2 linked regions of the Drosophila melanogaster genome follow. The protein of the gene in region 1 interacts with the protein of each later gene in a pairwise test. Each region holds a gene or a part of one and is shown in the gene's direction. Other genes may lie near its edges. The genes, in order: Urm1 and dnk.

The links.
Region 2: the proteins of Urm1 (region 1) and dnk interact in a two-hybrid assay, tested with the Drosophila melanogaster proteins (one large-scale study listed by BioGRID).

Annotation. Positions count from the first base shown.
Region 1 is NT_037436.4:7,639,019-7,642,115, reverse strand, and holds Urm1 (Ubiquitin-related modifier 1), read left to right. Parts: upstream 1-1,669; 5' UTR 1,670-1,674; coding exon 1,675-1,712; intron 1,713-1,778; coding exon 1,779-1,846; intron 1,847-1,909; coding exon 1,910-1,991; intron 1,992-2,051; coding exon 2,052-2,100; intron 2,101-2,156; coding exon 2,157-2,225; 3' UTR 2,226-2,305; downstream 2,306-3,097. Other genes in the region: CG7506 (uncharacterized protein), read left to right, coding at 533-1,030, 1,089-1,301; Pura (Puratrophin-1-like), read right to left, coding at 3,079-3,097.
Region 2 is NT_033777.3:18,978,842-18,983,249, forward strand, and holds dnk (deoxyribonucleoside kinase), read left to right. Parts: upstream 1-2,153; 5' UTR 2,154-2,353; intron 2,354-2,415; exon of another isoform or gene 2,416-2,483; intron 2,484-2,582; exon of another isoform or gene 2,583-2,710; 5' UTR 2,711-2,730; coding exon 2,731-3,062; intron 3,063-3,138; coding exon 3,139-3,409; intron 3,410-3,466; coding exon 3,467-3,616; 3' UTR 3,617-3,908; downstream 3,909-4,408. Other genes in the region: Smu1 spliceosomal factor, read right to left, coding at 222-320, 383-1,461, 1,529-1,787, 1,844-1,910, 1,979-2,004; snRNP-U1-C (small ribonucleoprotein particle U1 subunit C), read right to left, coding at 4,262-4,408. UniProt on the Drosophila melanogaster protein: Deoxyribonucleoside kinase that has a broad specificity phosphorylating thymidine, 2'-deoxyriboadenosine, 2'-deoxyribocytidine and 2'-deoxyriboguanosine. Specificity is higher for pyrimidine nucleosides.

The DNA of each region.
Region 1 (3,097 bases):
TCATTGGGAAATACAATCGAATTTTTTGGCAGCAATATCCTAAAGTAGGTCAACACTTTGAATAATATTTGCAAACGCCTTTCCTACCGTTTTAAGCGTGAGTGTAAGTGAATTTTAATCGATGTATAAGTGTTAAATAATCAGCTCCTAATTGGTAAGTACAAGTGTAATTATTATTAATTTTTATTTTTGTATTTTTTAAAGAGAATCTTATCTTATAAGATTGTAATATTGGTCGGTTTAATGTAAATTAATTTTAGCTTAGAAATGTTAGAATTTTAGGATTTTAAATTTTTAATATTTGTTTTTAGTATCAATAAGTAAAAATAGTCAGTATCGATTTAAATTTCCGTTGTCAGTGCAATGTTGCCGTTTCCTGTTTCGGTATTCAAAAGGAGAGTTGGTATATTTTGAATAGACGTATCGTTTCTGGATTCTTTTAGCGCCCAAGTGTGGGCCACACTGCAACTCGTGTTATTTAACGTTCGGCAAAAACAGCTGTTTATTTCTACTGAAATAAGTAAATTACACCATGTTAGGCCTGCGAGCGATGCTGCCAAAAGGGAAACACTTTGCTGTTGTCCTGGGAAATGTCAGCCGTCAGATTACCCTGCCCCACAACTGCAGATGCATTACTAGTGCCTCATGGACAAGACCACAGCAGTCACAACCACAGAACTTCCAGCAAAACAGGTGGCTTTCGGTGAAGTCGACGAAAACTGAATCCGACGATGCACTGCAGCGGATCTACTATGGAACTCTTGCGCCACGCATGAAAATGGTCAAGTTCTTTTCGCTGAGCACCAGCTTAGCCGGCTTGGCCGCCCAGCCCATTCTTCTCGAGCAGGGAATGAAAATCGGAGGAACTGGAATGGCCGTATTCCTCTGCACCGTCGGTGGATTCTTCACCTTTGTGACTCCTCTGCTGCTGCACTTTATTACCAAGAAATACGTGACGGAGCTGCACTACAATCCACTAACGGAGGAGTACACGGCCACCACAATATCCCTGCTTCTGCAAAAAATCAAGGTGGGTAGAGCAAATTTAAAAGAGCTTGCCTTCAATGTACATATTATTTACCTTTTAGACTACTTTCCGACCAAATGATGTGGTCGTTCCGGAGGTTCCCGGCATGTTCACCTCTTTTCTGGTCAACAAACGACCTCTGTTTGTGGATCCAGCGCTTTTCGATGATCCCGAGCACTATGTTAAGATAATGGGTTACGACAAACCGATCGATTTCAAACTGGATCTGACTCCGAATCCTGAAAAGTCGAAAACGAGCGAGGAGAAGCAATAAAAAAAACGCTCTTTATGATAACGTGTTTTTTTTAATTTCATAAATTCACAACGAAATGTAAAATGTCTTCTTAGAGCACAGATCATAATATGCTAATGAAAACTTTACCTAGCGTTCCATTGGAATGCCACCTGTTTATGTTTCTCAATGGGAATAATTATAATGCTGAGTCCCCTCGTCGAAGGTGAATGGTAAAGGTAAATTTACGTACAAATTATAATTTCTTTCAAAATGCAATAATTTTTGGAAGTTTAGAGCATGTGGTTGCCAGACTTTTTAGAAATTAGGATTCTATATTTGGTATTATTTTTGAATGGTGGATTTTTTTGAAAAGCTTAGACGCGGTCACACATTTATTTACATCGAACATATGATGGGCACGCCGGAATTAAAAATCATATTAGAATTCAGGTATATAAAGCCTTGTTCGAATTATTATTTCCAATAAATGAGACAATTTGTAATTTAATTTCGTAGTGCAGGGGCGGAGTTACTATTTGGTAACATAAAACGCCGTGAATTGAACTTGGACGGTAAACAAAAATGTATGTTCTAAAAGATGTTTTAAACTTGAGTGAAATCGGTTATGAATTATATATATTTTAAAGGGACTATTGCTAATCTGCTTAAGTGGATGCATGCGAATATTTTAACGGAGCGTCCGGAACTTTTTCTTCAAGGAGATACTGTGTAAGTTTGGCTTAAACTATAAGGGATACATAGTCTATACTTTCTATTGTATGTTTTCAGGCGACCTGGAATTTTAGTACTCATAAATGATACAGACTGGGAATTGCTGGTAAGTAAGAGTACAGAATATGGAATTCTAAAAACTATAATTAACTCAACTTCTAGGGTGAACTGGACTACGAGCTGCAGCCCAACGACAATGTGTTGTTTATATCAACTTTACACGGTGGTTAAAAAACGTTCTGGAATCTAAATTATAGGAGAAAAGTTTATTTTTATACTACAACCCATTAAATTGTATTCAAAAAACAAACAAAAACAGTTTTTGACTGAATCAGAATTACGTCCCTTTACCAGAGGCAAAGGCCCACACGATGGTTCGGGTAGTAAAGTTTTCATCATATCATCTAGAGATTGTAAGCTAGCAGGTTTTCGCTATTTATAAAAGCACAGCATTGAACAAGCACTTGGGAATTGTAGGGAAGTTAAAAATAGAACAATCCAGATGCGGTTTGGCGGGTAATTCGAAGTAAGGACAACACGTTAGTTTTACATTGAAGCAACATTTATTGAATTTAAATTTTCGCTTAAAATTATTTATCGAGTTATTATGAAGTATAGATATATTTTTTTAATGTTCGTTTACGATTATTTTAACTATAGGCACTTAGGTTACATATCAACTAACTGTACGTAATGAAGTTCGATTCAGATATGTTGGGCATCGGCCACGCCCCTTTTTCGGGTGCTGCTCATGGCTCCCATCGATTTCTGTGTGTGTGTGGTGCGGATCGTTCGATTGTGTGGACTAAGAACTAGATATGTATGAAACTTGCTTCGACATTGACACGCTGAATTCAATAATTTCGACTGATTTTTCCGATAAACAAGGCAAAACGAAAAGCAGCGACTATGACAAATTAACGAAAACTAAAAATGTAATAAATAATAAATAACAAAAATAATGAAATAAAATTAGCGATCGAACGTAATACGATGATACTACATGGGATCCGATGAAACCGTTCTGCTAAAGCTATTAATGGGGATTTATACTATATCTAGATGCGATGCTCCAGGAGCTCCTCTATTTGCCGCTTTCCGGA
Region 2 (4,408 bases), on another chromosome or scaffold:
AACTCTGTGGATTAGCGCTCTGAGAGATTGGCGCTTTGCATAATGCTTAATTAAAGTCAATTTGTTTCATATAGGCAAGATTGAAGATATTGATGTGAGGAATGGCTGAGGGCATGAGAAAAAAACTGCAAGCGCTTTGGGGTCAGTAGGTATATTTCGGCAGCTCAAATAAGACCACCAACTAAAACTAACTAGGTGTGAAAGTCAATTGCTTATATGGTCTAAGGCTTCCAAAGCTTCAGCAGGCCGTCCTCACTGTAGCTGGCCAGTAGATTTTGATGCGGATGATGTGTCAGGCCAATGACGTCCTTTTCATGAACCTATGGAATAAATATCACGTTTAAAGTCAGTTTGAAAACAAATAGTTTAAAGAGCAGCTTACGTTCAAAGTACGTTCAAGTTTACCGGAGGAGACGGAGAAACAGTAAAGCACCTGATCCTCTCCAGCGCAGTATATGAACTCTCCTCGCGGCGAAAGAGTGGCTGAGATAAAGGCACCGCCCTCGCGCTTACCCGACGAGAAGGATCGCACAATCTGGCCCTGCATGTTCATAATGACAACCGTATTGGATCTGTTGCAGACAATGAAGTGTTCGGGATTCTTGGGCAGAATGAGGACTGTGTTTACGGCCAACTCGTTGCCAAGGGGCTTGTACGTGGCCACGCACTCGGTCGTTTTAAGGGACCAAACCTTTACTGTGCCGTCGGAAGATGCGCTGAGCACGCTGTGTCCGTCAGGCGTAAAGGTGGCTTCGTTCACAAAGGAGGAATGCCCCTTGAACTCCTTCAGCATCTTTCCCGACTTCAGCCCGTGCAGTCTCACCGTGTAGTCGAAGGATGCGCTGAGTACCTGGCTGTTATCTCGCGAGAACTGCAGACAGGTTATTCCCTTGGTGTGGGCTTTCTCGAATTTACGCAAACACTGACCGGTGATGATGCGCCACACCTTGATTTGGCCATCCTGTGCGCCCGATGCCACCATCTCGGAATCTCGTGAGAAGTTCAACGCCAGCACCGCCTGTTCCATCATCATGAACTGGTCCTGCGCCTGGTACTTCAGATCCTTTCTCACCTTGCCGGTGGTAAAGTTCCACACCTCAAGGAAACCGTCCACACTGCCCGTTATCAGATACTGACCATCCGGCGAGAACTGAGCGCACTCAACGTGCGACTTTTGGCCAAATTTGATTTGTCGGAACAGCTGGGTGGGATACATTTCTTCTTCCTGGTCCTTCATCGCCGCCTTGCCGCGGAACAAATCAATGGTGGTGCCGGGCGGAAGGAGTCCCTGGTGCTGTTGCCATTTAAGAGCCTGTCCCAGGAGTGCCAAGAGCCTGGAGGAGGGCACCACATGCACCTCGCCACTTAGCTCTTGGGCAATGACCGTGCGCCGCTTTTCCTTGCTACTTCCCTCTGCATAGGCTTCCCTGGGATCGAAGTAAGCGCGCTGCAGCATGTTTTCTACAGACAAATATACCAATTAGGAATCACGAACTCTAGTGAAACCTTAGAATGGCTTATATTTTACCCAAATGGATGTATCGTTCGGGCTCCTGCTGCTTCAACATGGTCATGGGATCCGTCTGGCGGAGCAGAGATCTTGCTGCGCCCAGTTCTCTGAGCTCGATCAGCTCCAAGACTATTTGCTCGTATAGATTGAGCAGCTTCTTATCCGGTAATTTGAGAGACTGGGTCACTTTTAGCACGGTGTCCCAGTGCCCGTTGGAGATATCCTGCACAAAGCCATCCACGCTGTCCACCGTATTCAGGGAGACACCCGTTTCCTCCTGAAAGTTTAAGATCATTGAAAGACAAACTCTCTCCGCGGTGTGTAAGTACTAACCTGTAACGTTTGCAGGGTCTTCATAAGGTTGGACTCCTTCAGATACTGCTGGATGAGCCGAATCACACTTTGTTTGGGGGGGAAATCACGGATCTAGTAAAAACTGAGTGGTGTTGGTCGATTTACAGTACTTACTCCGCTGATTCGATTTCTATGGACATCGTAAACTAATTTCCCGGTTTAAGATTCCTTTTAAAAATAAGTTTTAATACAGGTTTATAAAAATGTACAATAATATTGATAAAAAATGCGTCGTCGTAGGGATGGCGAAAAACAGATACTATGCACAGAACAGCTGACCGTTATCGTTATCGCCGACAGCTGATTCTCAGTATAGGCAAAAAGAAAATTCATTTCACAACGTTAAATAAAATAAATAAGAGGCCATAAAAGTTGTGAGCAATAAATGTTTAATTTTATTGCTATCAGTGGTATTTGTATTTAATAAATTTGTAAAAACAGCAATGTCCAGCAAGCACATGTGGCAGAAAAACATTATATCATTAATAGGTAATTCAACCAGCATTGGCTTAAACTTTAAGTTTTTGTAAAGATGTATGTAAAAACATTACCGGCAATAGAATAGACACACACACACACACACACACAGTTACCGATCAGCCGGTTGACAAAAACAAGCATAACGATAGGTAACACCGATTAAAAAAAAAAGAAACAAATGGCGATGTTCCCGCTCTTTTTGTTTTTCGGCGGTAAACGATCTGACCAGGCGGGTTGAATCAGTCACCATATTCCCGCCGCCGTGTACAGTACTCCATCGAATCCGGAACAATCAACTTCAACCGCGATCCGTTGCTGCTGTGCTGTACCTAAAACAGTTAGTAAAACTCCCAATCTCACGTGCAGATCGCCGATTATCCGGACTGATGGCGGAGGCAGCATCCTGTGCCCGAAAGGGGACCAAGTACGCCGAGGGCACCCAGCCCTTCACCGTCCTCATCGAGGGCAACATCGGCAGCGGGAAGACCACGTATTTGAACCACTTCGAGAAGTACAAGAACGACATTTGCCTGCTGACCGAGCCCGTCGAGAAGTGGCGCAACGTCAACGGGGTAAATCTGCTGGAGCTGATGTACAAAGATCCCAAGAAGTGGGCCATGCCCTTTCAGAGTTATGTCACGCTGACCATGCTGCAGTCGCACACCGCCCCAACCAACAAGAAGCTAAAAATAATGGAGCGCTCCATTTTTAGCGCTCGGTGAGTGCATTATTCCCGTCGTCCGGTTTGACCAGAAACGCTAAACGAAACTTATCCATTACCCATCGCGCCGCAGCTATTGCTTCGTGGAGAACATGCGACGAAACGGCTCGCTGGAGCAGGGCATGTACAATACGCTGGAGGAGTGGTACAAGTTCATCGAAGAGTCCATTCACGTGCAGGCGGACCTCATCATATATCTGCGCACCTCGCCGGAGGTGGCGTACGAACGCATCCGGCAGCGGGCTCGTTCTGAGGAGAGCTGCGTGCCGCTTAAGTACCTTCAGGAGCTGCATGAGTTGCACGAGGACTGGTTGATACACCAGAGACGACCGCAGTCGTGCAAGGTAGTTTCTACACAAGCTCACATCTACCGAAGCCGCTAAATATGCATTTTTCCTCAGGTCCTAGTCCTCGATGCCGATCTGAACCTGGAAAACATTGGCACCGAGTACCAGCGCTCGGAGAGCAGCATATTCGACGCCATCTCAAGTAACCAACAGCCCTCGCCGGTTCTGGTGTCGCCCAGCAAGCGCCAGAGGGTCGCCAGATAACCATTATCCCATTAGTACCTAATTGTGTGTAGTACAGACGTTTAAAATAATATTATAAGAGGCCTAGACGAGCCGATTCGCGGGACAAAGGCAGAAACTTACACTTCGAGCCAATGATTAACACATTCGTATATTAACAATTATAATCCACATTATATTCTCTTCACAGCAACTAGTATGTAAGCTCAAAATATTGTAATAAAAACTGTGAATGTTTATGTTAAAGGCAAGGCACCTACTATTTTTGTGTTAGCATTTCAGTTCACTTGCATTTTAACTATATTGTGTTGGACAATGAAATCATTAAATGCCTTCTCTAGCATTGATTTTTGTTATCTTTTTCTGAAGCGGGGTTTTTTAAAGTCATAATAATGTGTGCACCGTAAAAGCGGCGTGATCTTATGCCTGCTGAACTCTAATGTGACTGCATGCGCTTCTCATTACTGACCTAAATATATATACTTTATTTCTCTATTGACTTCCACCCACAAAGACAACCATTTGTTGAGTCAACTTGCTTTATATAAATGTATATAATTAATTGTTTTCGCTATCGGGCTTACTTAAATGCTACAGCTTAATTAGGACATCGCAAGGAGAGCACTCCATCTGTGCTGTGAACGTTGATGCCGTTCCTGAGGGCGTTCACTTGGGTCCGTTCATGATTCCTGGACGGACGCCGGGTATAGTGCCCAGTGGAGGCGGTGGTCCCATCATGGCCATGGGATTCATAATCGGTGGCGGACGCATGCCCATCATGGGGTTCATCAGTGGAGGCATATAGGGCATTCC